Ovis aries: one gene and its partners. The main gene of each other region encodes a partner of the protein of the gene in region 2 in a complex. Links are inferred from orthologs where the notes say so. Each region holds a gene or a part of one and is shown on either strand. Other genes may lie near its edges. The genes, in order: DCP1A, DAB2IP, PAK1 and ARHGEF6.

What was found.
Region 1: DAB2IP (region 2) and DCP1A share a complex: the UniProt entries of both Homo sapiens proteins name them as parts of the cytoplasmic complex. The link is inferred for Ovis aries from reciprocal best matches to the Homo sapiens genes DAB2IP and DCP1A.
Region 3: DAB2IP (region 2) and PAK1 share a complex: the UniProt entries of both Homo sapiens proteins name them as parts of the cytoplasmic complex. The link is inferred for Ovis aries from reciprocal best matches to the Homo sapiens genes DAB2IP and PAK1.
Region 4: DAB2IP (region 2) and ARHGEF6 share a complex: the UniProt entries of both Homo sapiens proteins name them as parts of the cytoplasmic complex. The link is inferred for Ovis aries from reciprocal best matches to the Homo sapiens genes DAB2IP and ARHGEF6.

What each region holds. Positions count from the first base shown.
Region 1 is NC_056072.1:47,784,399-47,789,988, reverse strand, and holds part of DCP1A (mRNA-decapping enzyme 1A), read right to left. Parts: coding exon 5,529-5,590; intron 3,603-5,528; coding exon 3,537-3,602; intron 1,809-3,536; coding exon 1,590-1,808; intron 1,285-1,589; coding exon 1,204-1,284; 3' UTR 1-1,203. UniProt on the Homo sapiens protein: Necessary for the degradation of mRNAs, both in normal mRNA turnover and in nonsense-mediated mRNA decay. Removes the 7-methyl guanine cap structure from mRNA molecules, yielding a 5'-phosphorylated mRNA fragment and 7m-GDP.
Region 2 is NC_056056.1:14,108,921-14,114,510, reverse strand, and holds part of DAB2IP (disabled homolog 2-interacting protein), read left to right. Parts: intron 1-331; coding exon 332-886; intron 887-3,788; coding exon 3,789-3,933; intron 3,934-4,024; coding exon 4,025-4,169; intron 4,170-5,590. UniProt on the Homo sapiens protein: Functions as a scaffold protein implicated in the regulation of a large spectrum of both general and specialized signaling pathways.
Region 3 is NC_056074.1:16,104,114-16,110,369, reverse strand, and holds the start of PAK1 (serine/threonine-protein kinase PAK 1), read right to left. Parts: upstream 3,770-6,256; 5' UTR 3,071-3,769; intron 2,589-3,070; exon of another isoform or gene 2,452-2,588; intron 1-2,451. UniProt on the Homo sapiens protein: Protein kinase involved in intracellular signaling pathways downstream of integrins and receptor-type kinases that plays an important role in cytoskeleton dynamics, in cell adhesion, migration, proliferation, apoptosis, mitosis, and in vesicle-mediated transport processes.
Region 4 is NC_056080.1:98,428,102-98,434,488, forward strand, and holds the start of ARHGEF6 (rho guanine nucleotide exchange factor 6), read left to right. Parts: upstream 1-2,471; 5' UTR 2,472-2,482; coding exon 2,483-2,647; intron 2,648-3,851; coding exon 3,852-3,935; intron 3,936-6,387. UniProt on the Homo sapiens protein: Acts as a RAC1 guanine nucleotide exchange factor (GEF).

The DNA of each region.
Region 1 (5,590 bases), on a different chromosome or scaffold from region 2:
CTATTGCTGAAATAAATCAAATCTACATTAAAATATTACTAATCACCATTACATGCCATAAAAGAATAAATATAAATCATGGCAGATCAATAGCAGCATAACAAAGCATCTTTACATATTTTCAGACTCGGGCTGCAGAAGGGCTCACAGCCTAAGAATACATTGGTGAAGTTCCGAATATCACACTTGGTTTTTAATTCCATATTCTATAATAAAGTAAGGGCAGTGTGAGTAACAGTTCCCTTTTCTGCATAGCTTTAAAACTATTCTCAGTAGACTTGAGGAACGGAACCAGAATGGCTTTGTCAGATTGGTCCACTTGTCCTTTTGTCAAAGTGTTAAGGGAAACAACGAACAATGACTTCTCACTGTGTTTAGACAGAAAAGGAAAATAAGGCTATGATTCACACACAAGCTTAACATTTTCAAAACCACTGGAGAGTTTAACTGAAAGTGAAGATTTCTGATAGAATTTGGGTCTTACCAGTCCCAGCCTTTACTTCAAAGGTGTACCACGCCTGCTCCCACCTCAGCACAGGGCCGGCAGGGCCCTATTCAAACATATCCTCACAGTGGAAGCCCTCTGCATGGCATCCCCGGGGACACTTAAAATCAGAACAAATGAATAAACTTCAGAACTTTTAAGGCCCCAAACGGGCATTCGTATAAAATACACCTCACTTGAACAAACCAGTCCTAATCTGCCAGCTTAACCTCTGATCCTTAAAACGCGAAGCTACTTTGCACAGAGCTGACTTCTGCTCTGTTCAGAACATGACTACCAGCCCAAGGCTTAACTTTTTAGATGGAAGTGCGGGAGGGGAATGGGGGTATGGGCTGGGCTGACTGCCGCAGGGCTGGTGACCTCTTTTCCCTAAGACCTTGAATACGAAAGTGAGCTGAAAATCAGATTCCTTATTTCACAAACTTGTTTAGAGCTGATGAAAACACCCACACCCACACAACTGAACACAATGGTCTTTTTTTTCCCCCCCAAAACAAAGGTCTGCTGGTGATGCTTCACAGTGAAACCTCCATTATCACTGAGAACGTCACTTGGAAAACATTCTTAAGCAACGAGTCTCTTTCTCATAGGCTCAGTTTTAGAATTCTCAAAGCTCAATGTTCCGTTTAGAAGTTTCCATGATGAGGCCTGCTTGCTTCTGAGGTCGACATCCTGCCTTCAGGATTACTCTGCTCTAGTCATAGGTTGTGGCTGTCTCTGTTCTTGGTCAGAACCTGTAAGTAGGCTTCATGAAGTGTGCTGAGGAAGCTGGGATCATTCTGGAAGAGATGGTCAGGTCACGGTTACCTCCTTAGAGCTGTCATGGTAACAGCTTAGGAAGAAGTTATATACATGCTCTGTACAACTAATTATGCCAAGAATCCCACCACCCAGAGACAATCATGAGGAATATTTTGAAATTCACACAGATCTATTTTTCCACTTTGAGAATTTTCCCATAGGGAGAGAGAAACACTGGTCCTAGCTGGCCTTGGATTTTCTTTATGAATTGACTTTTTAAAGAATCATATAATTATTTTTTTACAGAATGAAAATCCAAAGACTAAACCAATATTTTACATACCTTGATTAGATGTATTAATGTATCCTGGAGCTGAGACTTGCTGAGGATAATGGAAGGCTTTCTCTGATTTTCTGTCGTCCCAACAGTGAGAGGAGAAGGGGAGCTGGCTTTCCTCTCAAGGTCTGAGGACCTTGTAACTGTCTGCTGGAAAACACTGGGGGACAGCAGGACTGAGGGCGCTGCCGAGGTTGTTGCCGGAACCAGAGGGGGGCCTGCCACCTGCAGGGGAACAATGGCCATTTTGCAACAAAGAGTGTGGGAGCCAGCAGCCAGGCCCAGAGGAGGGGACGCTGATAACAAGCACAAGCAGCAGGAGACAGGAAAGCAGAGCCCGATGCTGACTATTCAGAGTTCAGATAAAGGGCCAGAAGCGGCATCTAAGCACGCAATGTCTGGTTAGGAAGCTTGTTCACTGAAGGATGAGGAGCCCATTTACATGATAAGGGTGGCCCCGGGCTGTTATGAGACGCCAAGCCCCATCACTACAGAAAGGGAATCTGATAAGGCACAGTAAGAACAGTCCTGAGATAAGTTGAATATGTCAAGTTTTCCCATGAGGGACACAGAAATGCTTGGAGGAGGGTGTGAAGGAACTATCTGAGGTGATGGAAGTGTTACATAACTTCTCACTGCCCAAGAGATATATGTGTATTAAAACTCAATTCAAGAAATCTGCATTATACATAAATTTTAATTCAATAAAAAGAATTATATGAAGCATCAGTTATATGAAATTATTTGAAGCATTAGTTTCTTTAGTTGTGTTCAATGTATTTATTATGCCACCACAGTCATCAAAGACACAATTTTAAAAACATAAAACTAACATTTACCTCCTTCTTTCATTTAGAGATACTTCTGGGCTAACAATGGCTAACCAGCAGAATACACAAAAGAGTAATAATATTTTTTTTTGAAAGTGAAAGTTGCTCAGTCATGTCCGACTCTTTTAGACTCCACGGACTTGTATAGTCCATGGAATTCTCCAGGCCAGAATACTGGAGTGGGTAGCCTTTCGCTTCTCCAGGGGATCTTTCCAACCCAGGGATCAAACCCAGGTCTCCCGCATTGTAGGCGGATTCTTTACCAACTGAGCTTTGAGGGAAGCCCTTTTTTTTTTTTTACTAATTCTCATATTTTGATACACTCAACAAGAAAACTATGTATTTTTTCCCTCCTATCTGTCACCTTCCTCATTTATAAAGAACCAAAGCTGTCCGTAGCTTTGAGAGTGCAGTTTCTGGGTTCTGAGCCATCTGTGGTTATTTTTGGTGCAACACCGGGCTGAGAGATCACCAAGAAGTGGTAAGCCGATCACCACGCAGCAGGACAAGCTACAAAGAAGACCTGCTAAGACCAGTCAGAAGGTGGCTTTTGTTTAAACTCTTAGGCTTCAGGAGAGGTGTTAAGGCTCAAAGGCAAAAGGAACCTAAAAGTTTAGGAACTGAAAAAGATGAGTGTGCCTGTCAAAGCTGGTAGGGAATGGAGGATGAGGACAAGTTGTAAAAAATGAGGCAGGGGAGAAGAAGCAAGGCACAGAGCACGCAGGCCTGGGAGGTTCTGTCAACAGGGCAATGGGAAGCCATCGAGCAGGGTGGTGACACTGCCTTGTTTACTGGGACACCATAGTTCTTCCAGGGCAAAGACTGTCTCCTATCCATAGGGATGGGGCTGACTTGCTCTCAGCAGTCGCCTGTTCACAACACAGAGGGAGTGAGTGAGCACCCCTGCCGTGGCCGACCTTGCCCTCCCATACACACATTCAAGGAAGACATCACTGAGGACGGATGACTTGAGGACTGCAGAGGCCACAGCAATGAGCTCTGCCTGCGGGAGTTGGAGGGGACATGTAAGAGGGGCCTAAGTTTGAAAGCTGAAATGTTTCACTTTACACTCAGCAGAAGAACTTAAGACATACTATGCTCTTTAGAAAAAGGGGATCCTTACCGGGATGGCACTGGATAACACCTTAGGCTGGGCAAAAACTTCAGGATCCTGGTTTTGCTGCATAGACTGCAACGTTTAAACAGAAAAGATGAACAGATGTAGCAACTTTTCATTAAAGATTTCTTAGTTACTGGGGTAAAAATCTAGGTTAGCAGCTGTAAGGAGGAGTTCAAACATGACTTGGTTCCTAGATTCCTGAGGGAAGTGGCTGACCAGAATTTGTCACAATGCAGGATAGGAGCTTCAGGACAGCCCCCAACCCTCTTCAGTTCCACTGGAGAAAAGGGGTGTGCAAAGCCTTGAAAACGTCTCTACAGAAAAAGCTGAAACCTGGGTCTCTTATAAGAGTGGGGACAGACCAAGCATATTTTGCTGTTGAGACTGTAGAGACGCAAGATCCTGATAGCATGAAGCCTCCTGATAGGGTGGTTCACACTCTGACAGGTGGCACTAAACAGTCTCACACAGAGCCACACACTTCCAGATAAATGCTATACCTATTCCCTGGGAGACACAGAAGCTCCTGTAGCAGAGCAAATACATTAGGACTCAGTGCGGTCCCAGGTCCTGAAATTCGATATGGCACATAAACGAGAAAGAACATGTTTGTAAGCTTCCTCTGCCAGAGGCATGCTGGAGAGCAGGGTGCTGTCCCAGAGGCCAAATCTAGAGGGGCGGTATTCAGGACTGCAGGCTGTATTTCTAGAACAACAGGAATAGTGGCAGCAGACACATTTCAGGGATGTTTTATCAAACAGAACATTCTCGCTGCTCCTTATACTGCAGACAGAAACGGCAAATATGACAATTTAATCATGTAACCAGGACACCAGGTTTCTTTTTCTGTACAGAATTTTAACGGAATGGAACAAAGCATTCCATTAACTAAGAGATAATATTATACAGAAGAGCCAGTATTAATATTATTTGGTAAAATGTTCAAGAGCTGGGGATTGTAATGATTAAAGGGCATGAGACTAAAACCTTGAAAGGCTCTACCCCCTTTCAGTTCTGTGATCTTGCACAAGTCACTTCAACTGTGACCTGATTTCCTCATTTGTAAACTCACCAACGTTTTAAGTTACTGAGGGACAAACCTCTTCTTCACCCCGATATCCAAACCCCACCAAGTCCCGCTCATCCTCCTTCTTAATAAATCCACATGTCCACACTGCCCAGTACAGGCCCCCACCCGCTCAAGCCTGGGTGACTGCCCCGACCTCCGTTCTGATGGGTTGTCGTCCTTCTGTCATCCCCTTTCCCAGCGTGCCACCCTTGGCTCATACACTTAAAAGACTCTCCAGGGTCCTCAGAACAAACCTCTAACTCCTTGATACTATTTACAAAATTTTACTCATCACCAATACCTGCTCCCCCATGTTTCTTTACACATAGATCCAGTCACACCACAGCTCAGCAAATGCCCTCTCGTGTCTAGGCTTCTGCACCTGCTACTTTCCTTGCCTTCACACACACTTCCTACCTCTAGGTCTGGCTAATTTCTACTGAGTCTTCAGATCTCAGCTGATGGCCAGTTTCCCGAGGAAGCTTTCTTTGACCTCAGACCTCCAGATGTGGGACGCTCTTATGGCACCCCTAATGCACCTGGCACAAGGCAGGCACTCAGTCAGAGTACTGAGGGAGCAGGGGATGGAACAAAGCTTGGGATAATCTGGATCCATGGTCTTGAGTCAAATAAGGACTCCTAGACGTGTCAGGCAAAAATAAACAAACAAAAAAACGCTAAAATGCACACCCAGGAAGGAAAATACAATTTCTCAGCTTTTATCAGCTGAAATTATTTTGGGAAGTGGAACTGAGTTACACCACCAGTTACCGATGGTTTGGTTGATCACTGCAGGGCTTCTCACCTCTCCTTTCTTCTAGCCCCTTACACACTCAACGGTTGTCTCTTTAAACAACTCTGTCTCCTCTCAATCAAAATCCAGTTTCATCCCACTAGGTTACAGCCACCCAATCTCCTGCCAGTACCTGAAGGGGAGCAAGCACCATGTTGCTCAGGGAGGCTGAGGCTCTTGCTGCTGTTGCTTTAG
Region 2 (5,590 bases):
CTTGTCTCCATGTGACTCTGCGGACAAGCAAGCTTCCCAAGAGCCAGTCAACGGCCGCCGTGTGCCAGGCATCGCGCTGGCCTCTTCAGTTGCTCTCAGCTTGTGGACTTCCATGACAGAGGGACTTAAGGCTTAGATGATCATAGATGGTTGCTTGCCCAAGGTCAGTGAGCTAGTGTATGAGGCAGAGCAGAGATCCGGCCCCACTTCCTTCAGACTCCAGAGCTGGCCCTGACCAGCTCTGAGCACTCTTCCCAGCTCCGGGCTTGGCAGGGGACCAGGCGCCAGGCTCCTGGTAACTGCGCCCCTCTCCCCGCCCATGCATGTGCAGGACAACAGCCGGCGTGTGGAGCACATTCTGAAGCTGTGGGTGATCGAGGCCAAGGACCTGCCGGCCAAGAAGAAGTACCTGTGCGAGCTGTGCCTGGACGACGTGCTGTACGCGCGCACCACGGGCAAGCTCAAGACCGACAACGTCTTCTGGGGCGAGCACTTCGAGTTCCACAACCTGCCGCCCCTGCGCACAGTCACCGTCCACCTGTACCGCGAGACCGACAAGAAGAAGAAGAAGGAGCGCAGCAGCTACCTGGGCTTGGTGAGCCTGCCCGCCGCCTCCGTGGCCGGCCGGCAGTTCGTGGAGAAGTGGTACCCGGTGGTGACGCCCAACCCCAAGGGCGGCAAGGGCCCCGGGCCCATGATCCGCATCAAGGCGCGCTACCAGACCATCACTATCCTGCCCATGGAGATGTATAAGGAGTTCGCCGAGCACATCACCAACCACTACCTGGGGCTCTGCGCTGCCCTCGAGCCCATCCTCAGTGCCAAGACCAAGGAGGAGATGGCGTCAGCCTTGGTGCACATCCTGCAGAGCACGGGCAAGGTGAAGGTAGGTGCCCGGGCCTCAGGCGGGACGCCGCCTCCCGCGGGCCCCGTGGAAGGCTGGGGGACAGGCACCGGATGACCTGCCGGTCCCCGCGTCCACGTCATGGATTTCAGCTCTGCTGGAGGCCCCCGTCATAGCTAGGTGGGCCCCCTCAGTCTGGAGCTGGCTAAATCTGGAGCTGCATCCTGAAGGGTGGGGGCTTTGTGCACCCCCTCCGTGGTTGGAGCTGATCGCAGAGGCGGGTATGGAGCCCATGGTCTGTAACATGGCTTGCAGCAAGGAAGTGGCTTTAGGGCCTCCCCACTGCCGGAGAGGGCCGGCCCCTCCCTGAGGCTCCAGGGGAGCAGGCCACGAGGCCCACCTCTGCAGGCACATGGGTCCCAGTGACCCAGACACACATCTGGTGTGTTAAGTTATCACACATTGCAGCAGGTGACGGCCAGGGTGCAGCCGTTGTCTGAGCCCCAGACTCCCCCCAGCTCCCAGTGCACGCACACGGGACACACAGTCACTGTCGCAGCTGTCTGTTTGGAGGGCAGCCGCCCCAGCTCTGGACCCCCCTGGAGCAAATCTTGCCCGAGCCCTCCAGCAGGCCCTGCTCCAGGGCTGGAGGGCCCCTGCTGTCCTCCCCACCGCCTTCCACCTGCCTCCCTGCCAAGCCACGCCCAGCCCCACCCACTCGCTCCTCTTTGCAGACAGGTCGGCTCCTTCTGGAAGGCTCTGCAGGCCTACCTGCCCAGCACAGCAGAACATGGTTCCACCCTGCCCCCTGCCTTGGGGGGGGCCTTGAGGGAGCTCCTCAAAAGGGGTGCAGTGGAGAAAGGCTGAACGTGGGGTCTATCCACGCTGCAGAAGGCTTTGGGTGCCTTCCCCGGGGGCGAGCCTCTGCTCTCCAGACGTCGCATGACTTGTGGCCTGTGGTGGGGGTGAGGGACTGCCCTCCCTGGTCAAGGTCCCGAGCCCTCAGCCTGGGCTTGGAGGGAGACACAGGTTGGGGGTCAGGCCTCAGCCCCCAGGCAGAGCCCAGGGTGCGCAGTCTGTCAGGGCTCTTATTCTCTCTCTCTGCCTGATCCAGAAGGCCCTGGCCTCCTTTGGGCCCTTCAGAGCCCCTGCCCATTGGGCTCATGGTGGGGGACCAGGAGAGGTACTTCTCCATGGGCACGGGGCACTCCATTCCTCTGTGCTTGGACCACCTCCTCCCCTGGAGAGGGAGGGAGACCAGAGGGAGACCAAGGGAGGCAGCAGGGGCTCCAGCGGCCTCCTTTCTGCCTCTAGGTCTGTCCTTTCAGTAAGCGGCCCCCGAGGGCTGGGCTGGGCTGGGAGGCTGAGTCTGATCTGAAGGGGCCTTTGCTCTCAGGCTCATAGCTGAGACAGGAGAAATCGGGGTGCTCACTGTGCACCGGGCCTCCAGCTCCTCAGCGGAGCTTCTGTGGGGTGCTGCTCCCCAGCAGCACATCAGGCTGCTGGGGTGACGTGCATCTGAGCTCTGAGCCCCTGGGGAGCTAAGGGGTGAGATGCCTCTCTCCGGAGCACGTGCCAAGGGCTCCGAGTCCTGGGAGAGGGCCTTGGGTGTGCTTTGCCCCCTGTCATCTCCCTCCGCCCCCCCCCCAACCCCCCCCCCCCCACCCCTCAGTGCAGTAGGAGAAATGGGCCCTTGCTAACAAGACACTCAGGCCAGATTTGGTCCCGGTAGCTGTGTGGCCTTGGACAGGTCAGTTTCCTGTTCTGTGCCTGTTTCCCCACCACCACCCCCAGCCAGGTCCTGGCTCTAAGAAGAGCTCCTCCTCACCCCCGCCTGGGCCTCACACCTACCCCAGGAGCTCAGGAGGGCTGTGGGCATGAGCAGAGCAGTACACGCAGTACTGACGTCTGTTGTTCTTTGTTCAGAGAAGGAGGCCCTAGAGGTCACTGGTGGTCAGGAAGGGTCCTCAGGCTGTGTGGTCTCCAGAGAGACCAACTGCCTCTCCCCCACCCCGGCCCTCCTATTTCTCCGGTGGCCAACCAGGTCTCCAGGGCCCAGAGTTCGGTTCTGTATTTCAAGGCCCACTTGTGATTTCGAGGGCCCTGAAGTTGGGCATGTTGGATGAGGCATTTCTGGAGCATCAATAGCCCCGGCACAATGCCAGCCACCCGGCCTCTGCGCTGGCCGGCCCCTGCCCTCTGCCCCCACTGCCCCCGGGTCCCTGCCTCCTGCCTGTCTTCTCCCCAGGTCACAAGCCTGGCCGTGGGCGTGAGGAGGCGCAGCCTCCGAGGTGGGGGGTGTTTCCACCTGGAGGGGTGCAGCAGGTTCCTCTGAGCCGCCCCGCAGTCAGGAGGGAAGGCGTGGGCTCAGGCTCCCTCCTGGGTCTGCCCGGGAGCTGTGCTGTAGCCAGGCCACTTCCCATGCGAGCCGAGGTCCATCTCCCTCTGTCTGAGCCCCGGCTCACTGCCTTCCAGGGCAGCTGGCCTGCTTCTCCCCCTTGTCTTCCTTCCTCGTGAGGCTGCACAGAACAAGCCCTTGTCTGGCATGGGAGACCTCATCACAGTGATGGGTGGACGGTCGTAGCTGCTTGTATGAGGGGGCAGGGCAGCCTGTTTGTCCTCTTTAGCCCTGGGATGGGGGTGCTCTTTTCAGTCACCCCACCAGGCCGGGGCAGGGCTGAGCAGAGATTTGAGTCCCCCGGGTCGGGCCATCATGCGGGGGCTCTTGCCTCCCTGATCCGGGGTCCAGCTCAGATGTCGCCGTGTCCCCTCATTAGGCTGCCCTGCTCTCATGCCCCAGAAGCCCCCACAGGTGAGACCCAGCAGCCTGGTGATGGAGCAGCCTCACAGAGCAGGGGCTTCTGGCCAGGGAGCGTGGGTCTGGACCCCTGGGGCCTTACCTGCCAGGCCTGCTCAAGTCCACTCTCCTCCCCTGGCTCCACAGGACTTCCTGACCGACCTGATGATGTCAGAGGTGGACCGCTGTGGGGAAAACGAGCACCTCATCTTCCGGGAGAACACGCTGGCCACCAAGGCCATCGAGGAGTACCTCAAGCTGGTGGGCCAGAAGTACCTGCAGGACGCACTAGGTAGGGGGTGTGGGCTGACTGGGGGCAAGAGGGTCAGGGTGGGGCATGCCCACTGGGTCCTCACCGCCCCCTCCTGCCCTCTCGGCCACAGGAGAGTTCATCAAAGCGCTGTACGAGTCGGACGAGAACTGTGAAGTGGACCCGAGCAAGTGCTCGGCCGCTGACCTCCCCGAGCACCAGGGCAACCTCAAGATGTGCTGCGAGCTGGCCTTCTGCAAAATCATCAACTCCTACTGGTCAGTGCTGCCCCCACGCCCTCTCGGCCTCCACTGCCCAGGGTCCCACCCCGCATCCCTCCCTCTCGCCCCATCCTTCTGTAGGCTGGGTGCCTGGAGTATGCTGGGCTCTGGGCTGGCCTCTGAGGGCATCATCCCATCCCGAGAGCTCGGTGGGGAGCCCTCCTCTGTCATTCCCAACAAGAGAGCTGAGGTTTAACAGGGAGAGGGCAGGTAACACAGCTTCAGATTCGGGGCCCTGGGATTGGAACCCACCTTCTTCTGACCCCGCTGAGTCCAACTGGTCCTTTCTGGGCTCAGACATTGGAGTGTTCCAGAGTGTGTAGGCAGGACATGGTCTGTGCATTGTTGAGGATTCAGACCTGGCAGTCCCGTACACATGTTGGACAGTGGGTACTGCCTGGCACCATTGTAGGTGCTACAGCTGGACAAGAAGCCAGATGCACAAGGCTCTGCTCAGGTACCCCTGGGTGACTGGATGGCTTCACCTGGGACTCCTCACCTGGCAATGGAAGCTGGTGCTCAAGTTACAGGCTTGGGGTGGCCCCAGCACGCACCTGTGTGGGGCCTGGACACTGGGTGGGCCTCCTGCTGGGACCGTAGAGAACCGAGGAGGAGGACTGGGCTTTATTAGGACCGAGTTCTGTGGGCCCCTGGCGGCCCCAGAGAGGAGCAGAAGTGTGCAGGGCAGACTGCTTTTCAGGACTGCAGTCTGGGCCACAGTCAGTCCCGGGCCATTCCATGCAAGATGAACATCCCGGCATGTGTGAATGGTGGCCACTGAGCTAGTACAGCCTCATCAGAGATGGCTGTGTGACTGTCCAGGGGACCATGCTACCAGCCCCCAGGAGTGGCTTTATTTTCACACTGGAGGAGCTGCCCAGGTTTTTCCCTTGGTCCCTGCTCCAGCTCAGGACCTACGTTCCCTTCCCCACCTGAGTGGCTCTCCTGGCCCCGTTCCCCCGTCCCACCTCTGGCCGTAGGTTGCTTCTCTCTTTGGTCGCGTTCTTTCCTGTCCTGCTGGAAGGCCTTTGTCTGGCTCCCCTTTGTGGCCCTTCTTTATCGTGTCACCAGAGACAGTCGGCTTACCCCCGCAGCCACCCTGGCTCACAGCTCTGTTCCCGTCAGAGTACCTTGAGCACCCCTGGTATGGGCACCAGAAGGACCTGGTTTTTCTGCTCCCGAAGGACGGGCACAGGCAGAGGCAGGCCTGCAAGGAGACGACAGTCTTGGGTCAGGGCAGAGCCGGTGGGGTTGACGCTGCCGGCGCAGGTCCCCCTGCCCCAGGGTTACACAAGGTGCTCACTGGGGCCTCCCTGGCCCTTTGGGCTGAGCTGAAAATGACCCTTGGCACCGGACCAGGAGGGACAACCAGAGAGTTTGAAGTCTGGAACACACTTCCCACTCTTGGGCTGTGTTTT
Region 3 (6,256 bases), on a different chromosome or scaffold from region 2:
CAGTTAAGTGAGAAAAACAGATGATATGAAATGGAATGGAATAGAATAGGATGGAATGGAATGAAACTGAACAGAATGGAACAGATGGGATGGAATGGAACAGAATGGAAGGAAATGGAATGGAAGGTCAGGCACTTTGTGCTATGGAAGAAAGAGGAGGCAGGGAGAAAGGAAGCAGGGAGGGAGGTGGCAAGGTAATGGTCTTATTAAAGGCAGATCATTTAACACAGTGGTTCTCAAACTTTAGCGAGTATCACAATCACGTGGAGGATTGTTAAATATCTGGGGTTCCCAACCCCAGAGTTTTTCATCTGTATGTCTGGAATGGGACAAGTAATTTGCAAGTCCAACAAATTCTCAGATTCTATTGATGATCCTGGTACAGGGACTACACTTGGAGCTAAAATTATTCTAACCCAAAGAATTAGGTAATCTCAAACTCAAGGGCCTTGATTTGCTTTCTTCACTCATACATTCATTTCAAACTCTTATTCAGTGCCAGAAACTTTGCAAGGCACTAAGACTAAAGAGATCTTGCCCTCAAAAAATTCACAGGTTAATATTTGCAACAATGTGATAAAGTCAAAAAAATTTGCAACAAAGTGCTATAGAGATCTATAAGAGTGGTCTCTATAAAAGCCCGGGAACAGAAAAGCAACTCATTATACGGAGGTAATAGGAGGAAAAACTAAGGGACACTTTCATTTTTCTCCCAGAAGTATAAGTGCTTCTCCATAGGCAGGTGCAGGATGGCATTTTAGACAGAACAGCACATGCAAAAGCAGAGATGAGAAGAGGGTGGCAAGGAAGTTGTAGAAAGTGAGGCTGCAAAGGCAGGCAGTACTCTAATTTCTGAGAGCTTCTTATTCGTATCAAAAAGTTTAAAATTTTATCTTTAGGCAATGACTAGTCAGGAGTGGGGCTGGATATATAGTGCCTTCCTTTTAGAAACACTTGGACTACCTGATGTGAAGAGCCAACTCACTGGAAAAGACCTTGATGCTGAAAATAACTGAAGGCAAAAAGAGAAGGGGACCACAGAGGATGAGATGGTTAGATAGCATCACTGACTCAATGGACATGAATTTGAGCCAACTCTGGGATACAGTAGAGAACAGAGGAACCTAGCCTAGCTTGCTGCAGTCCTTGGGAGTTGCGAAGAGTCAGACACATTAGTGACTGAACAACCACCTCCTTTTAGAAAGCAGTCCTTCCTCCAAATTTAACACAGGGCTTCATACCATGTGCTTAGTAAATGTATACTGAATTGAATATACGTTCAAAAAAGCTCTTTGTCAAGTGCTATCTCACAGAAGAGAGGCAGGTCACTACCTTCCTTTTGGGACTCACTTTGACCAGGACAAGACTTGTAAAACAGGTCCAGCAGCCTCAATTATTGCACACTACTCCCTGTACAGCTGTTGTAGAGACTAGGGAAGGCCTTCATTGTTTACAAGCCTACCTCACCCACTAGACTTTGAGCTCTTTGACAGACAGGGAATGTCTTAACAGTTTCTGAATCCCCACAGCCCTAGCAGGAGACCTGAAACACAGTAGCTCTCCAGACTCCAGTAATATTGGGTAAATGAATGACTGAATAAGCAAATTTACCAGACAGACCCATAAGTTAACTGGATAAGCTTCATGGAATGTTTCATGATCTATCATTCAAAAATCCTTTTTTTTCTTTTTGCCACTTTGTTATAATTGAAGGATAATTGCTTTACAGAATTTTGTGGTTTTCTCTCATACATCAACAAGAATCAGCCAGAGGTACACCCATGCCCCCTCCCTCCTGGACCTCCCTCCATCTCCCTCCCCATCCAACCCTTCTAGACTGTCACAGAGCCCCTGTTTCAGTTCTCTGTTCCAGTTTCCCTTGTTCAGTTACAATACACATGGTATTGTAAATTTCCATGTTACTCTCTCCATACATCTCACCCTCTTTTTTGAGAAGTAGAGTTTCTAGTTAAGATGAGGTGGATTTCATATGCACCTGATTCAGGATTTTCCAAATAGTAACAACAACAAAGTGTTAACAAGTGCTGTATCATAAATCCTACCAAACCTCTGAGGGACTCAATGAGAAAGTTTTGCCTGAAAGGATTATGGGGGTGGGTGCCAGCAAAGACTTCATGGGAGGTTTGGCCAGAGTTGGGGGGGTGGGGCGGGGGTGCTTCAGTAAAGTCTTGAAAACTAAGTAGCACAAAAGCAAACAAGCAAACTCCCGGGCCTTTAAAACTGGAAGTGACCTGCTCAAGGTCACACAGGAAGTAGAAGTCATGAGGTAAGACTAAGGAGGTATTTGTGTACTGTCGACTCCTCTTTTCCCCTGACAAAGTTTAGACAGGGCACAAAGACACAGTAGGCAAGATTAAAGATTTTTCTAGGAACAACTCTTAAAGGTTAGACTAGTGACTTCAAATTTTTATTGGTAACCAAACTACTAACCCTTCTCATCACCTTTCACAGTCCTGGGAGGAAAAGCGCAAGACAGTTATCCAAAGGGCTAAACAAACAAAAAGCACTTTGCTCTCAACACGCAAAACTTCTCAAGTATTCTTCCAAAACACTCCCAGCAATGTTTGCTGTGAAAATATTCAAGACAGTAAAGGTTATAATAATCACGTCTTTTGAAGTGGAATAAGAAACATAAAATAACTCCAAATCTCGTCTCCCCGTGTTTTAACGCCACAGGTTTAGAGTATTGCCGGTGTGGGGGAGGGGCGGCATAAGTCAAGCACTGTCCACTCGTATTTTTCAAGGAGTTCAACTCTATAGGTGATCCCCACGGCCAGGACAAAGGTGACTTTTCTTGTGCACAATGAACCTGTCGCCGCCTTGCTAGGTCCCCCTGCGCGGTCCAGAGTTAGGATCCGAGGACCACAAAGTTCAGGAGGCAGTCGCTCCCGGAGCCGGACCTGCGAGGTCTCCCCTCCGCTGACTTGCCCTGGCTCTCTGGGTCCCCAGGCGTCAGAGACCCGCGGCCACGCGGGTTACTACACCGGGGGCCTTTGTTGGTCCGACAGAAATGGCCAGCCTCGAAAGAGACGCCCCCGCCTTCCCTCACCTGGCGCCCGCATCCGCCCGGCCGCGGCGGGGAATGAATGGGTCCCGGAACCCCCGCCCCGCGCCTCCCCCAGCCCGGCGCCGCAGCCCGGCAGCCCGCGACGCCAGGGGTACAGGGCGGGAGGCCGGCTCTCACCGTCCGCGCTTGTTCGGCTCGACTCGGCTCCTCCTCCTTCTCCACCCCGGTGTCCGCGGCCGAGCCGCGGAGTGAGCGCTCGAGTGTGCGCAAGGGGCCGCTTCACTTTCTCCCGCCCGCCGCCGCCGCCGCCGCTCGCCCGGCGCCTCCCGACCCGCTCGTGCCGGGAAGTCCCCTCAGGACAGGGCGAGGGTGGGGGGGAGGGGGTCAGCGACCGTGGCTGGAGTCGGGGAGGCGGAGGGACCTAGGCGACGCGGCTGCGGGGGGCGCTTGCTCGGAGATATGAGGAGCTCGGGTGGCCTCTGGGGGAGGAGGTGGAGAGACAGAGAGCTCTTTGAGGGGCTCTCGAGAGCGCGGGGCTCCGTGAAAGAGGGGGTAAAAAGTCTGAGGGAAAAAAGCGTCTGGGGCAGGACGGCAGAGTCGATGAGGAAGACGCTACAGACGAGCAGAGAGGGAAAGGGGTGTGGGGGCGAAACCGTGAGGGGCCGTCTACGGTGCTGCCCACACCTTGGACTCCAGCTGCAGCGGCCGCCGAGCCGCCTCCCCCACCTCAGCCGAGCTATTGTACGCCGCTGGCCGGGCGGACCGCCTCGCCCACCGGCCCCCGCCCCTCCCCTTGAGGCACAGGCGCCGGCGGAGCCCCGGCCCGCCCCACCTCCGGCAGGTGGGAGGGGGCGGGGAGGACAGGACGGACCCACGTGAGCGAGGCCCAGCCAGGCGTGGGGGCGGGGAAGGGCCACTCCTGGAATGACGTCATCGGCGCATGACGCCAGAGACTGGGGAAGGCACCCGGCTGCCCGTGACGTCATTGCGCTCGCCTCTCTCCTCTGACTGCGCAAGGTCTACTGCTTCGGGCTCCTTCGAGGCAGAAGGCTTTGGGCTGGTTTCAGGGTTGTTAGTGGTATAGTCATGGTCAAAGAATACGGCTCACCCCCTATCTTATGGTCCTCTCCGCATCCGCTAGCTCGATGCCAAGCGCTGAATTTGGAAACTTCCCCATCTCCTATGACCTCAGAGCCAGACGTTTATTATACTGGATTTGGGGCGGGGGAGGGGCGCGGTGGGAAGGAGGCAAAGAAATGGTAATGGAGGTTTCAATTGTTACTGACAGAAAAAGAATGAGCTTCTTTTCCTAGTTTTTCCCTATAAAGGAGGCTACATTCAACGCAAACCTTTTGCCTGAGCTCGGATTCTGTTTCCCAGTGCCTCCTCCGTTTTCCAGTGTAGTGTTTGCATACCCGCTCTGTAAGTCAGATTCCATACGACCAAAACTGAAACGTTCAACATTAGTGAGGAAGGGTTTGGAATCAGATTGCTTTGTTTCAAATTTCAGCTATACAAATGTTAGTGATACGACTTTAACATTTCTAAGCCATAGTTTCTCTGTAAGTAGTACCTGTATCCTTTCTGTAATAATAGTTAAGTGCAGTTTAAAACGTATTAAGTCGTTTGGAATGCTGGCTATTCCTACCACCATTTCCCCTCAAAATTGTGACTCACATTACTTCTTGATCATAGAGAATGGACCGTCATTCAGCAGTTCACTGACCCAGAAACCTGAACTTAGCCCCCATTCTTCCTCGCTGAGCACTCATCAGATTGGTCACCGTCTTTGTAGAGTATCCTACATATTTCTCAAGTTCTTGCCCTTCTGTTCACTCATCACCATCACCTAGACAACTGGAGCAGCTTTCAGAGTCTCCAGATTCAATCCATTCTTAATGACCAGATTATTCTTTTTTTTTTCTTTTTTTCTTTTTTTTTTTTTTTTGTCTTGGGGTATAGCAAATTAACAGTGTTGTGATACTTACAGGTGAACAGCAAAGGGACTCACCCATATGTATACATGTATCCATTCTCTCCCAAACCAGAGTGTCCTTTTAAAAACACAAATCTGATGCCTTCCCCTGTTTAAATACTCTGAAAGGGTTTTGTTGCTTTCAGGATAAAATCTAAACTCCTTAATTTAGCACTGTACAACCTTGGTGCTTACACCAGCTTGTCTAGCTTCATCTCACATGGTATATACTTTGTTCCAGCCACACTGAAATGCTACTTAATGTTCTTTGAACTTACATTTCTTCATGTCTATAGCCCTTCTCTTTTATCTCACTGGCCAAAGCCTATTCATTCTACAAAGCCCAGTTCAAACGTCCTGTTCCTTTGTTCTTTCAATTAATATTTCTTAAGTTTCTCTGAGCCTTCACAATGCTGTCATCTTATAGTACTTCATGCCGTTTATGGCATGTAACAGACAGTGTAGTAACTGTATTTGTGTATGTGACTCCCTGAGCTCCTTTAGAGCGAGTTATATTCCTACCCATACTATCCATATCCCCAGTATCTAGAATATGCCTGACACATAATATGTTATGAAAATGTACTTAATAAATGATCACATAGTACTTACCATGTGCCAGGTAACTGTTCTAAGCACCATCTCTTTTAAACCTCTAACAACCCTCTGAGATAGTCTACTGTTATCCTCCACCCCCCCATTTTATTGGTGAGGAAACCGAGGTGCAGAGGGGTTAAGTAACTGAACCCAAGATCATAACCCAGTAAATTAATTCTAAACTATTTTTGGATAGTCTCAATGGTGGGCAGAATAATCAGTTCAGTTCAGTTCAGTCGCTCAGTCGTGTCCGACTATTTGCAACCCCATGAATCGCAGCACGCCAGGCCTCCCTGTCCATCACCATCTCCCGGAGTTCACTCAGACTCACGTCCATCGAGTCCGTGATGCCATCCACCCATCTCATCCTCGGTCGTCCCCTTCTCCTCCTGCCCTCAATCCCTCCCAGCATCAGAGTCTTTTCCAATGAGTCAACTCTTCGCATGAGGTGGCCAAAGTACTGGAGCTTCAGCTTTAGCATCATTCCTTCCAAAGAAATCCCAGGGCTGATCTCCTTCAGAATGGACTGGTTGGATCTCCTTGCAGTCCAAGGGACTCTCAAGAGTCTTCTCCAACACCACAAAATGGCTCCCTAAAAATGTTCACATCCTAATCCCCAGAACCTATGAATATGTTGCTTCCTTTCACAAAAGGGA
Region 4 (6,387 bases), on a different chromosome or scaffold from region 2:
GCGATAGCCAATGTCTAAAATGAGGCAGATTTTCACCCCAATAACCCCAGTGGGCTCAAGCCTATTTTGAACGAGGCTGGATTCCTGAAATTACCCAGGCTTTATTCTTCAACAAAAAATGTAAGTGATACGTCAATAATACTGCCGGATTTGTTTGTCTGTAGGATACAATTCTGATGAGCATTTGTGAGAAAACTGGTCAAATGAGATATCAAAGTATATTTAAGCAGGTTACATTTAAGAATTTCATTGATCAACACATGGATTTTGGTTTTATTTCCATTACATAGATTTGGTCATGGATCAAAAGTCAATGAAAACTTTTGATTGACTATACTTATTTTGCTCATAAATATAATTATATCAAACTGAATATCTGGAGGTCAAATCTTTCTTATAGAACTATTGATAGATACAACAACATGAATGAAACTCAAAGGGATGATGTTAACTGCAAGAAACCAGACAACAGAAAGTTCCATATTGTGTGATTCCATTTATACAAGATTCTAGAAAATGCAAACTAATCTATAGGATTGAAAAAGGTTGTTCATTGTCTGGGATTTTAAGGGAAGGGAGGAAAGATAGGGTTGAAAGGGCACAATAACACTTTTTGGGGATGACAGAAAAGTTTTTTGAATTGTGTGTATATGATTGTATCATGGGATGTATACCATATGTCAAAATCTATTAAATCATACATCTTAACCATATGCGATTCATTATGTCAGTTATATCTCACTAAAAGTACAAAAATCATTAGCAAGGAAAACATGTTGGTTTTAAGTCAAAATGTCTGCTGTGTACCAGGCACTCTGCTGGGGACAGTGTTCATCAAGGCAGACAAGACCCCTCCCTTAGTGGAGGCTACATTCTGGTGGAGGAGACAGATCAACAAATGACAATAGTCAAGTCTGGATAACTGTTATGACAAGGTAAAAAGGGGAAGCTTTGAAAGAATGTAGCCAGATTTTTTAAACAAATTTTTATTTGGTTGCACCTGGTATTAGTTGCAGTATGTGGGATCTTCACTATGGCATATGGGATCTAGTTCCCTGATCAGGGATGGAACCTGGGCCCCCTGCATAAGGAGTGTGGAGTCTTAGGCCCTGGACTACCAGGAAAGTACCCCAAACATGTAGCAGGATTATCTAAGCTGATTATTTGGTAGTAGATGCCTGTCACTGTATTGAAAAGATTCTGAAAGTTAGCATGATCCCATGCATCAGGAGAGGGTAGGGAGTACCATGCATTTGCCCAGATCAGGCTATACTGTTGGCCTTATCATAAATTTCCTAATCATGTGGCTATTATAACTGGTTATGAAGATGTTTTAAGAATAGTGTAGATCTCTTGTTATAGACCAGTTTTTTTCCAGAGCAATATTTTTAAGGCAAAGTGTTTCTTGTTGGGGAAACATCAACCTTCAGACTGTAGTATAGACAGAGGACAAGTGTTCTTTTGTTCTCAAAAATTCTGTTTCCAAGTGCTTTTTACTCGCCGATATGACTGTGTCTGAGCCTTTGCTAAGGGCACTGCAGCTGGATTGTGTAGTGGAACCAGGTCCAGAAAAAGAATCGCTCAAGAATGCAAGTAAACAGGATGTCAGATGTTATCCTTAGTCTATTTCCCTAAACATAGCTTTTTGGCTGCAAAGTAAAATGCCATTCTTCTAGTTTGTGCTTACACAGAGTGATGGCTGACAGCAGGCACAGTCTTCATCTGCTTGGCACGTTGTCACCGTGCAATTCAACGTGTTTTGCAGAGGAATGATCATGACACATTATCTCGGTGAGACAGTAAGAGGACATCCGGCCATTTCTTGGAAGAATTTTCCCAGCTTACCTTCTCTGAGCCCTGTTGTGCCAGCACAGCTCCCCATGAGGCTCAGATCTGTCTGACCTAAGAGCCAGTTGGCATCTTCCTCTTGACAGAAGCCAGATTTTCACTGGGGCTAGACTATTTATTGACAGCATTTTCCCAGACTGGCCCATGAGTATCTCATTTCCAAGGTCCCCTGAAGTGCTGGCTCGCCTCTGTTTTCCCAGAGCACTCACTGCCTTCTCTTTCCTCCCTCCCCAGCATCCTGCTCACTTCCTTCCCTTACAGCTTCTTGCACTGTTGGTTTTTTTTTTTTGGGGGGGGGGAGGGGTGTGAGTGTGTGTATGTATTTCTTCTTTTTTTTTTAAAAAAAATCCTAATGAATTTGTTTTGCAGCTTTTGAAAAAGAATCCCAGTGTTATCCAGGATTTTCCCCTCATTCATTCTATTTCTACATCTTTGAGTGTGAGCTCTGTGGTTTTCAAATCCCAGAATTGGAGTGGCTTCCACCGTTGTCTAAGGAACGTTGTTTTAGAGCTTTGCTCTGCAAGCACGAGAAGAGAACTCATAAAAAGGAAGACAACAGCAGATGCAATCGCGGATGTGGCTTAGTCCTTGCAGCTGCCCCAGAGAGGTGCTCGGGAGCGTTCAGTCTGCAGTAATGAATCCAGAAGAGCGCGTCGTGACCTGGCTCATATCCTTGGGAGTATTAGATTCCCCCAAAAAGACCATCTGTGATCCGGAGGAGTTCTTGAAGTCCTCTTTGAAAAATGGGGTAGTGCTGTGCAAACTGATCAACAGATTAAGGCCTGGCTCTGTAGAAAAGGTAAGGGAAATTTGCAGTATCTTTAGGGTTGCTCACCACCAGAGAGCAGCGGTAATGTCACTCTGGAGATTTTCGGTTGCCTGGGTCATGGGACACTCCTGCTTTCATCTCTTTTTGAGATTTAACCGTTCTTTCTTACTGTTTTCATAGTCGGAAAAAGTCAGAAAATGAAAGGTTTTCCTTTAGTGATTGGCCACTAGAGGTTAGTACAGTAAAAACCTTTGACACCACTGGTACCAGGGGACAAGGAGAACACCCCTGTCACGAGCTGGCTCTGCCACAGAGACGCGTGTTGTGCCTCCCTGTGCACCGAGGACATGTTTTGAACCTGAGGTTCATGTGAGTCTGTGGAGTAATGGGATGATTTGTAACAGATATTCAGGGTGCTTATTGATGGTATGACTAAATTTGCTGTGGATTTACTTCTCAAAGAAATAAAGTATCCATTGAAAGAGAGGCTATTTAGCAATCAGGAGAAATAATCCAAAATGTCACAATGGGTTTGTTAAAACAATAGAAACCAAATATATGTTTTGAATGCAACACGTGTTCAAAGTGAAACTAACCTTACTCATTTTTAAAAATCCAAAATTGTGAAGGTTGGAAACCCATGATCACCAGTAAGAAAAATTTTTAAAATGGGCACCTTAATCAAGTTTAAAAGTGGAGCCATAAATTATTTTCTTAAGGTCAGCAGGGAATGAGACACTGAGTACAGTTCATTTCCCTCCTTGAGGCAGTGTTTTTATTGAACATACCGATTTACTTATAATTTCTCAAACTTGGAAAACAGTGATAAAATGGAAAATGTCGAGAAATGTGATCAAATGTAAAGAACAGCGAAGAGGGAAATACAATTTTAATACATTATCATGAGGAGGATGGAGGGAAATGATAGGTTGAAAGCAGGAACCAGGATGAAAAAAACTTGCAGGGTCTCTCTAATTTGCTATCACCATGCTTTGCATGAGAAAGTTTATAAGTGGAGATGACTTGGGGCTAAGGATTTGGTGACATTTGGAACAAGACCAACCGTTTAGATTTTTGCATCACTTCCTTCAGTGGTTAATTTCTCTTCCTGGATTGACAGTAATGTTGGCCCCACCTTAAAAAGCCTACTTTATCTACTTATCAGCGAATGATGCAATGATGTGTCCCACTTGGGATGACAGTCTCCAAGTGATATTTGACTGTGTTTCTTTAGTACTGTCTGGAGCCCCAAACTGAAGCTGACTGCACCAACAACATCAACGACTTCCTGAAAGGATGCGCAGCCCTTCAAGTGGAGGTAAGCCCACCCAGGTTGCCTTCCTTGTGGTCATTTTTCACTCTGCTAATGAATATGGTGTCGTGGTAAAAGGCTTATTTTTACTGTTAAACCGAGGAAGCATTTTTATGGAAACCATGGTTAAGATCGATGGTCCCCAGTCATGGTTTGCTAGTTTGTTTGTTTGTTTATTTTTTTTCCGGAAACCAATTCCAAAGCAAAACAAAATCAAAATTCAAAATATGGTAACTTTTATCTTACTGTATAGCACAGAGAACCATATTCAATATCCTATGATAAACCATAATGGAAAAGAATATTAAGAAAAAGAATGTCTGTATATGTGTAACTGAATCATTTGGCTGTACAGCAGAAATTAACACAGCATTGTAAATCAATTAAAAAAAGACAAAATATGGTACCATTTAGAAACAGCTCCCAAAATTTGTTGTATGACTCAAGGAATTCAAACCAGGGCTCTGTGACAACTTAGAGGGGTGGGATGGGGTGGGAGGTCGAAGGGAGATTTGAGAGGGTGGGGACATATGTATGATTCATGTTGAAGTATGGCAGAAACCAACACAATATTGTAAAGCAATTATCCTCCAATTAAAAATAAATTAAAAAAAAAAAAAACCACAGCTCCCAAGCTCTGAAAGCAGGCTTTTGGTGCCAGAGGTTGTATGGTATGCGTCCCTACTAAGTGGAGCCCAAAGTGGGCCACTGGATGCTGCAGAGGGTTACTGTAATCCTTTTGAGTTGGGAAGGGTGGAAAGATTATAACCACTTTTCCCTACTAACACTTTAGAACAGAGGCCATGAAAGAACTTGGCCCTGAGGTAGAAATTGTATATTAAGTTACACTGTATTCCTTTATGTTATGTGGATCCTTGCAGTAAGTATAGGGGGTGTTGCTGAAAAGGAGGTGACGCTTTTGCTTGTATGTCACATTATTTAATGTCTCTGTACCTTAGTGTTTTAATCTGTAAAATGGACACAATAATAACTACCTCATGGGGCTGTTTTAAGGATCAAATGAGATACTGCATAATAATTTAGAGCTAAGAGCTTGAAATTCCAAAGATCTATGAAGTAACGTAGGTAGAGTACTCAGCACAGGACCTGGGGTGTAAGAAGTATAGACATGCATTAGTAGTATCACTTGTGGAGAAATGTTAGTACTGGTTTGAGCCTGGACTCTTCCCTACTGGCTCAGACAGTAAAGAATCTGCCTGTAATGCAGGAGACTCGAGTTCAGTCCCTAGGTTGGGAAGATTCCCTGGAGAAGGGGACAGCAACCCATTCCAGTGTTCTTGCCTGGAGAATCCCATGGACAGAGGAGCCTGGTGGGCTACAGCCTGTGGGCTTGCAAAGAACTGGATACAACTGAGCGACACTTTCACACACCTTCTGATATTAGACTACTTGGATTCAAATCTCAGTTATCTCTTGCTAGTAGCTTTGTGACCTTGGGCATGTTATGGCTCTGTGCCTCAGTCTCCATACCTGCAAAATGGGAAGAATAGCAGCACCTGTCTCATGGGATTGGTATAAGGTTTCAAAGAATTCACATCCTTGGAAGAGTGCATGGCACACAGAAAGTTTTCTCCAAGTGTTAGTTAACTACTAGTGGTACTAGTACAAGTAACTTTTCCCCAGATAAACTTTGCTTTCTTCAGAGTTTTTCTGAAAGTTAGCCATAGCATCAAGCTATGCTTGTTTCAGAATATTTTATTCCAGATTTCCGTATTGCCAAATTTTAGCTCCTTCCCTCTCTCTCTCTTTATCTTTCTGTGTGTGTACCTGGGCGCATGGTGTGTATGGCTTTTAAGGCAGGTGCAACCTACTCTATATCCCTTATGGAATGATGTCTGCTACGAACAGATCATGGCATTTTCTTTTCATTTGTTAAATAAAAACATTGTGAGGTTGCCAAAGATTTATGCACTCTGAAGCTGTCAGAAGGTATATTGAGTTTCTATATGGTTCTAAGAATACTAGGTGATACAGAAACACCTCCTGGGTCTGGCATTGTTGGAGAATGAGTCTTTTCACATAAGTGGATTTTTCTGATAACTAATGCTTATTCCATTAAGCACCCATACTTAAAATATTTTTGGCCACTTTGGACACAAATCTTTCTTTGAAAGTATAACATAATTTTCATTTCTTACATTGAAGGTCGCCAAACATATTTTGATCTCTTTTGGATAATTCAGGCTGGTCTGAGCATCAGATGAATATTGTGAGGAGGCAATATCTGTCAGGATGGTTAAGCACATACCTTCTCCAGTTTGACAGACAGACATGGGTCAGAATTTTGGCTCTGTGTGATTCTGGGAAAAGATATTTGGCCTCTCTCTGCTCCAGTTTCCTCATCTGTATAATGGAGACATGAGTAATAGGTACTGCATTGGATCTGTTTATTTATTTTTAATATTTTGACCATACCTTGCAGCATGTAGGATCTTAG